2 linked regions of the Ovis aries genome follow. The protein of the gene in region 1 binds, or shares a complex with, the protein of each later gene. Links are inferred from orthologs where the notes say so. Each region holds a gene or a part of one and is shown on either strand. Other genes may lie near its edges. The genes, in order: ERCC2 and POLR2C.

The links.
Region 2: ERCC2 (region 1) and POLR2C share a complex: the UniProt entries of both Homo sapiens proteins name them as parts of the TBP-based Pol II pre-initiation complex. The link is inferred for Ovis aries from reciprocal best matches to the Homo sapiens genes ERCC2 and POLR2C.

What each region holds. Positions count from the first base shown.
Region 1 is NC_056067.1:52,782,226-52,786,136, forward strand, and holds the start of ERCC2 (general transcription and DNA repair factor IIH helicase subunit XPD), read right to left. Parts: upstream 2,360-3,911; 5' UTR 2,327-2,359; coding exon 2,322-2,326; intron 2,018-2,321; coding exon 1,918-2,017; intron 232-1,917; exon of another isoform or gene 160-231; intron 1-159. UniProt on the Homo sapiens protein: ATP-dependent 5'-3' DNA helicase. Component of the general transcription and DNA repair factor IIH (TFIIH) core complex, not absolutely essential for minimal transcription in vitro.
Region 2 is NC_056067.1:25,049,263-25,053,173, forward strand, and holds the start of POLR2C (DNA-directed RNA polymerase II subunit RPB3), read left to right. Parts: upstream 1-1,524; 5' UTR 1,525-1,562; coding exon 1,563-1,648; intron 1,649-1,811; coding exon 1,812-1,861; intron 1,862-3,911. UniProt on the Homo sapiens protein: Core component of RNA polymerase II (Pol II), a DNA-dependent RNA polymerase which synthesizes mRNA precursors and many functional non-coding RNAs using the four ribonucleoside triphosphates as substrates.

The sequences.
Region 1 (3,911 bases):
GAGGGACACGACACAGGCGCTCAAAACTCCAGGGACACAAACTCTGGGACCCTTCCCCCAGAATGAAACCAGCTTGGAATAACAGGACACAACATAGCAGTTAGAAATCTAGGCCTCAGGGGCAGTGGATTTGAACCCCACTTTTGCCACTCTGGAATCTCCCTGGTGGCTCAGACGGTAAAGCGTCTGCCTGCCGTGCGGGAGACCCAGGTTCAATCCCTGGGTTGGGAAGATCCGCTGGAGAAGGAAATGGCAACCCACTCCAGTAATGTTGTGTGGAAAATTCCATGGACTGAGGAGCCTGGTGGGCTACAGTCCATGGGGTCGCAAAGAGTCGGACACGACTGAGCAACTTCACTTTCACTTTGCCACTCTGGTTGAGTGGTCTTAGGCAAGACCTTTCAACCTCTCTGAGGACTCTGTCTCTAAAAATTGGCCTACAGTGGTGAAGACTGTGAGCCTTCACTACCGAGGGCCCAGGTTCAAACCCTGGTCAGGGAACTATGATCATGCAAGCCATGCAGTGCAGCAAAAAAAAAAAAAAAAAAGGGGGTTGGGGGGGTCTAAGAAGCTCTTCCTCATCGCAGGACTATGACGATTAGGGACAAACTGCAGGCTAAATATTTAGTACAATATCTGATTTGTATGTATGCTAAGTCCCTTCAGTCATGTCCCTTTGCGACCCCATGACTATAGGACTATAGCCTGTAAGGCTCCTCTGTCCACAGGGTTCTCCAGGCAAGAATACTGGAGTGGGTTGCCATGCCCTTCTCCAGAGGATCTTCCCAACCCAGGAATCTCCTGCATTGCAGGCAGATTCTTTACCGTCTGCACTACCAGGGAAGTTCTATCTGATATGTAGGAGCCCTCTCTTTTAACCTAGCACAGCACTTAACTCTGTGCCTGGCACTATTACTAAGTGTCTTACATCAGAGTATCTCAGCCTCAACTCTCTTGACATTTGGAGGCCGGATACCATATGATTGTGGGGTCTGTCCCCCACTGCAGCAGCAAATGTGGCCTCTACATACTAGACACCAGTTGCACCCCTCCTCCACTAGTACTGACAACTGGGAATGTCTCCACACTTTGCTGAATGTCCTCCGGGGGTCAAAATGGTCCCCAGTTGAGAACTTCTGCCTTACTTAGTGAATTAACCCCTGCAGCCCTCACTAATATGAAAGTGAAAGTAGTGAAAGTGTTAGTCACTCAGTCCTGTCCAAGTCTTTGCAACCCCATGGACTGTAACCTTCCAAGCTCCTCTGCCCATGGAATTCTCCAGGCAAGAATACTGGAGTGGGTTGCCTTTCTCTTCTCCAGGGGATCTTCCCCACCCAGGGATTGAATCCCGGCCTCTTGCATTGCAGGTAGATTCTTTACCATCTGAGCCACCTGGGAAGCCCCATATTAAGCTGAGGTAGGTACTATTACTATGGCTATTCACCAAGGTGAAGACTGCAGAGGGGAGATTAAGTGATGATTTACCCAAGGACACACTACCGTGGGTAGCCAATTCCTGAGTCTCTATATGCCTAAGCCTACCACGGAGCAGTTCAGCCTTTGATAAAGGTCAGCTGATGCTATTTTTAATTACTATTATTTGAGATACCAAGTTTGGCAGCGGGGGCTATCACAAGGACCTCAGATTTCTAAACTCTAGACCAGAGGTCCCCAGCCTCCAGGATCTAATACCTGATGATATGAGGCCTAATGATCGAATGTCTGATAGACCCGATGTAATAATAATAGAAATAAAATGCACAAAAATGAGTTTGAATCCCTCCGTCCGCAAATTGACTTCTCCAAAACTGGTCTTTGGTGCCAAAAAGGTTGGGGACCGCTGCAATCTCAGTCTTAAAGGCGCGTGTTGATCAGCCCCACCTCTCAGGGGGGCAGCGGCGGGCCCGGCCCACCCACCTTGGCATCCAGCGTGCGTTTCAGCTCCAGCATGTACGAGAACTGCTCCGGGTAGATGTAGTCGTAGGGGAAGTAGACCAGCAGCCCGTCCACGTTGAGCCTGGCGGCGGGGGCTGCCGGATCAGTCCCCCGTCCCCTCAGCCCCCTCTCCAGCCCCCAGACTCCCCTGCCGCCGGGCCGAGAGCGGTTCCGGCCGGCTGGCCCGTCCCGCACATCCCCCCGGTTCTCTAGCAGCCTCCAGGTCCCTTCGGCATTCCCTCGCTGGCCCTCCCCGCAGCTATCCCCACCCCAGCGCGGCAGCCTCCCTTCGCTCCGCCGGGACCCGAGGCCTGACCACGCGTCCCCGCATCTTCCGGACCCCCACTCCCGCTCGCGAGCCGCGAACCCGAGACCCCCCCTCTCACTTCATGGCGCCGGTCGCGGTTTGGAGCGGCGTCGGCCCGCCTCCCTTATGAATATTCAGGAAAGACAGGCTCCTCAGGGTATCCTCGAGGCGCTGCCCCACCTTCTTCGCGACGCCATTGGCTGAACCTGCCCGTCACTCCCCATTGAAGTGACGTCAGGAGACAGTGCGCGTGCGCACGGCAATTGCGGGAGGCGGGTTCCGGGGTAGGTGTGGCCGGAGGCATCGAGGAGGATCGCCGAGTACCGAGAAGGAAACGCTGATGGAAGAGAACTGAGAGAATCGATCTCATTCGCTGGGATTCGATCTTCCTGCGTCTGTCCAGATTACCTGAGCAGGGGATGCATACTCAATTTTATTCTATTATATTCTTGGTTTTAAGAGGTACACCTCCCTTTCTCCCCAACTTCAATAAAGTAACCAAGTCTACAATGGGAGAACCCAGAGAGGGTCAGAGCCTGGGGGATCATAGAGGGCTTCCTGGGAATCTTCGCAACCCAGGGGCCGAATCTAGGTCTCCCGCATTGCAGGCGGATTCTTTACCATCTGAGCCACCAGGGATGCCCTGTGCTGTACATAGTCGCTCAGTCGTATCGGACTCTTCGCGACTCCGTGCACTGTAACCCACCAGGCTCCTCTGTCCATGGGATTCTGCAGGCAGGAGCTCCCAATTATCATGTCCCGTGTATTTGCGCTTCCTGATTTCCGATGCACGCAGTAGTAACCGCAGTTTGCAGCAAGCAGAAGCGAGCAGAAGCTGGGAACAAGAGCTTAGTTCCTGATCAGGAACTTAACCTCTGGATCTCAGAGGCCAGAGGCTAGGACCTGGATCCCCAGTCGTTGCCTGCCGCGTTAAGAAAAAATTCGGGGGAGGAGGCAGAAGGTAAAGAGAAAAGTAAAAAGTTTATTGGAAAAGAAGAATACATGTGGAAAGACGCAGGGGCAAACTCTGGGGTTACACCTTTAGGAAGTTTAAATCTGTTGTAAGGGGACAGTTTTCCAGATCTTGGTCTTCCTTCAGGCCAGTCATCTTGCTTTGTCCTCCCTCCCTCCCCTGAGGTGCCCACTCAACCCTCAGCCAAGATGAATCTGGAGGTGAAGTCTTCTGGGACCAGCAAGCCGCATTATGGCCTGGAATTACCGCCCCACCCCCCACCCCGACTTTTGACACACCGGGAGCCTTTCTGCCGTCGTGGTGTGTCTCCCATGTCCCAGAAAGGGTGAGGGAGGGGAGCGGAGAGCCCTTAATCCTTTACTCAAACAGTGTTTTGCCCCTCTTTGTCCTTGCCATGATTATTATCTTAAGGTGTTTACAAGAGACAAAGACAGGCTATTTACCCTGTATCTGTTGTTACTTCCATTTCAGAGGGCAAACAGGAGGCTGATTGTAAAGGCCTAAACTGGAGCCCACCTATCTCCTGTCTCAGGAAATGCTAACAGAAGGCTAGTTGTAAGTATCCAGCCTGAAGCTCACTTCTTCCTGCCCCATGAAATGCAAAAAGGAGGCCAGTTGTAAATGTCTAAACTGGAGCTCGTCTGTCTCCTACCTCGTTCCCAGTTTGTTCTCCTGCTCCATGGTGCAAGGAGCATC
Region 2 (3,911 bases), about 28 Mb from region 1:
GTCCAAGGTCAAGGTGCCAGCTGACTTGATTCTTGGCGCTTTCTTCCTGACACACACGGCCACCTTCTCCCTGCATTCTCGCACAACAGAGAGAGCATGCCAGTGTGCTCTGCGCTCTTCCTGGTTTTGTTAGAGCACTAATCTCCTGAGAGTTCTATCCTCAGGGCCTCGTAAAGACCCCCTTTCCAAGTATCCTCACGTGAGAAGTTGGGGCTTCACCATTTTGGTGCATGCAGCATCCAACAGCCATCTGTCTTCTGCGCTGCGGTCTCCTACCTGAGTGGACTGAATGACGATGGGAGTAACGGCTAGTGGGAATTTCCTGTCTCACGCACGTTCCTCTGGGCCCTTTCTGCACCTGATTCTTTTATCTTGACATCCTGTCAAGTTGCCTGCAGTAGCTATCATATTTTGTTCCATTCCCTCTTTTATCCTATATAGCATCCATCTCACACTCAACAGACAACCTTCTTAATTTACTGAGATGATACAGGCTTTAGTGCAAGGGCCCCCTTAATGCTCTTCTCTGTCTCAGATGTCACTCCTTGCTAAAGCAAACGCCTCTGTCCCCTCTGATGATTCTTTCTCTGCCCCCTACATGTTGTTCCCTGCCAAGTTCTATTTTAGGACTTCTCTGTATAATCTGCTGCCACCTGGGAATTCCCTGGCAGTCCAATGATTAGGACTTTACTTCATTTCAGGGGACATGGATGTGGCACAACCAAAAGCAAAAAAAAGACCCATCAGACCTCTTTGCAGGCTGTTTAAGACACTGCCTACTATGCACCTACATGTGCCCTTCCCATAGAATTTAAATTATCTGTAGGTTTCTTATAGTACCTAACACAATGTTTAATGCTATGGTAAATAGTTGTAAATGCTATATAAATAGTGCAGCAAATTTGTTTTATTTTTGGAACTTTATGGAATTTTATCTTCAATTGGTTGGATTCAAAAACCCTTGCATATGGAGGACCAACTGTACTTTTCTTCTTCCATAAATTTACACACTTCATTCTTTTAAAAAACGTTACAGTATTCCTGTGTTTGTATATTTAACCAGGTCTCTGTCAATGGGCATCTTTTATTTATCTTTTGCCAGAAACTGCTGCAGTGAACTGGAGAAGGAAATGGCAACCCACTCCAGTGTTCTTGCCTGAGAATCCCAGGGGCGGCGGAGCCTGGTGGGCTGCCTAGTCTATGGGGTCGCACAGAGTCGGACACGGCTGAAGCGACTTAGCAGCAGCAGCAGCTGCAGTGAACGTCCCTGTACATGTTTGCTTACACCTGCAAATGTTTCTGCAGTATGGATTCTTAGAAGTGTTACTGTGGAATCAAGGGCGTGTGCATGCTTTGCCAAATCGCCCTCTGAATGGTTGAACGTGGTGCCTCTTCAAGAAGGTGGGAGGGGTGGGTGGAAAACTTCAGGCCTCCGAGCAGCAGGCGGCGCTGTGAGCGCCCGTCCGCGCCAGTGGCGAGGCCCCGCTGACGGACTTCCGCTGGAGGAGTTGGCGCAGGCCCGGCAGAGCTGACAACAGAGGTCGAGCGAGCGGTGGGGCGCGATGCCGTACGCCAACCAGCCCACAGTGCGGATCACGGAGCTCACCGACGAGAATGTCAAGTTCATCATCGAGAACACGGACCTGGCGTAAGACTGCTGGGGGAGAGGTTGGCGGTTCTGGAGAGCCGGGGTCCCAGCCTGCGGGACGTCGTGTCTTTTCAAAACTGGCTTCCGCTTTGGGCGCGGTGGGGCGCGAGCCCGGCCTGTCGAGGTTGCGGTGCCCACACGCCGCTTGGTTTTCATTCCTCAGGGTGGCAAATTCTATCCGGAGGGTCTTCATCGCTGAGGTGCCCATAATAGGTAAGCGACCCCAGTCTCGTTGCCAGGGCTACCAGGCCTCTCTCCCCCCACCCCACTCCTCCCCTTGCCTTGCAGCTCCTGCCCCCAGCCTTGGTTTGGGCGAGGGATTGGGGGCGCTAAGAGGACAGTCGTGCTGGAGACTTGATCGGGCCCTTTGCCCTTGGCCCAGGCCCACTCTGGCCACCTCTCTGGCTCCCACGGGCTATTTAGTTCCATTCTTTTCCGTGCGTTGGTGACGCTCATGGGCTCAGGAGTCTGTGGACTGGGACTCAAACTGTTTTCACTTACTATCGCTGCGAAACTTGGGCAAGCTATTAAACTCTGTTGCAGTCCCCTCTCTAATGTTCGGACGCTAATAGCAGTTGTCAGGGCGACGTTAACGATTAAGGGGAATAATCTCTGTGCCTTGTGTTCAGTGAGTCTCCATTGCCCGGTAATGTGAATCTGTTCCGTCAGCTGCATCTCGGGAGCATATAAGCTCCAGGCAGTGGTGCTAGGCACTGGAAACGCAGAGCTGTGAAGTACAGGGTTCTCTAGGAGTTCATCTTCAGTTGCTCAGTTGTGTTCGACTCTTTGCGACCCCATTGGCTGTAGGCTCCTCTGTCCATGGGATTCTCCAGGCAAGAATACTGGAGTGGGCAGCCATTTCCTTCTCTAGGGGATCTTCCCAATCCAGGGATCAGACCCGCTTCTCCTGCATTTGCAGGCAGATTCTTCTAGGGTTTAAGGAGAACCGTAGCTGCAGTGGGTTTGACGCTTCAAGGAGAAAGGATCTGTTTCTGCTTTTGTTCCAGCCACTCTTCACTGGGTGTTCTGCCTGTCTACAGATATACTACAAATATTTTCCGAGTGTTAACTCTGAGTTTGGTTTAGGAAAAAGAGATGTAAGCCATAGTTACCGCATCAAGTGTGCAAATTCCTAAGGAGATGAACGGGCCAGTTGGTTGGTAAGCAGAGGACATTGTAGTTTTTCCACCATTACCACCCCCCGGAGACTTTTTCAACTCAGAGCTTGGAGTGCTGGTTCTCCTTCTCTGCCTAATCACCCCGTGGGGTCTCAGGACCTTAGTTTCATCATGAGTAAAGTGAGGCAGTTGTGCTTTAGGGTGCAGCCCTGACATTCAAGCGCCACTTTTCCCATGTAGCATGAAGCACCTCTTGCAATCCAGACCCCAGCTAGGAATACAGAAATTAAGACATCTGAAGACCCAAAGAAATTTTGAAGCTTGAGGTGGAAGCAAGATGCACACAGATATAACGCAATTTGACAAGTGTCTTAAGAGAAGTGTGGACAGAGTTCCAGGAGAGAGTAGCTTCCTCCCGGGAGAGAGTATTCATCTCTGTATCACAGAGGGTGGGCAAGGCCTGGTTTATAGGAAGCTCACAGGATTTTAAATCCTGCACAGGAGAGGTTAAAGGCACGCCAGTGGGAGGAAAGGCAGAGACAGAAAAGCTTGGCTCTTAGTCCTTGCTTGGCTCAGGTTTAGGAAGCAGAAGGACAAGCAGGTGGGGGTCTGGTCGTGTCTGGTCCTCTGTTCCTAGTGTCTGTGCCCCTCATTGAACAGTTGGTCTCACTGCCTTTTGACTTCTGAATTTAATTGTTTATGTACACATATTTATGAATGAATGAGTAAATGTGTTTAAATCAACTATGTGTGACACTGCAGTTCTCCTCCTCGCTCATGGCTGGTAGGGATTAGTATGCCCTACCCATTAAAGGAATTGGGTAAACATGATTTGGTTGAATGATAATAAAGTATTAATTTGGGTAATCTAGTCATTATATCACAAAAGGAGATGTGGGCCATAAGTCTATGTTACTTCTCTGAGGTTTGTCCAACTTTCAAGTGCCCAAATAGCTTGTGTTCTTACTGGTGTTGGCATGAGTAGCAGATTTAAGTGCTTCCCACAGAAATACTCCGCTCTGAGAAACACGCTCCCATTCTCGTGGTATCTTTAGGTCAGTGTTTTTGGGGTAATACAGGGAACTGTCTGCATCATAACTGCCTGAGCAGGGAAGTGCGGTGCAGTGTGTGTGGTTCTTATTAAA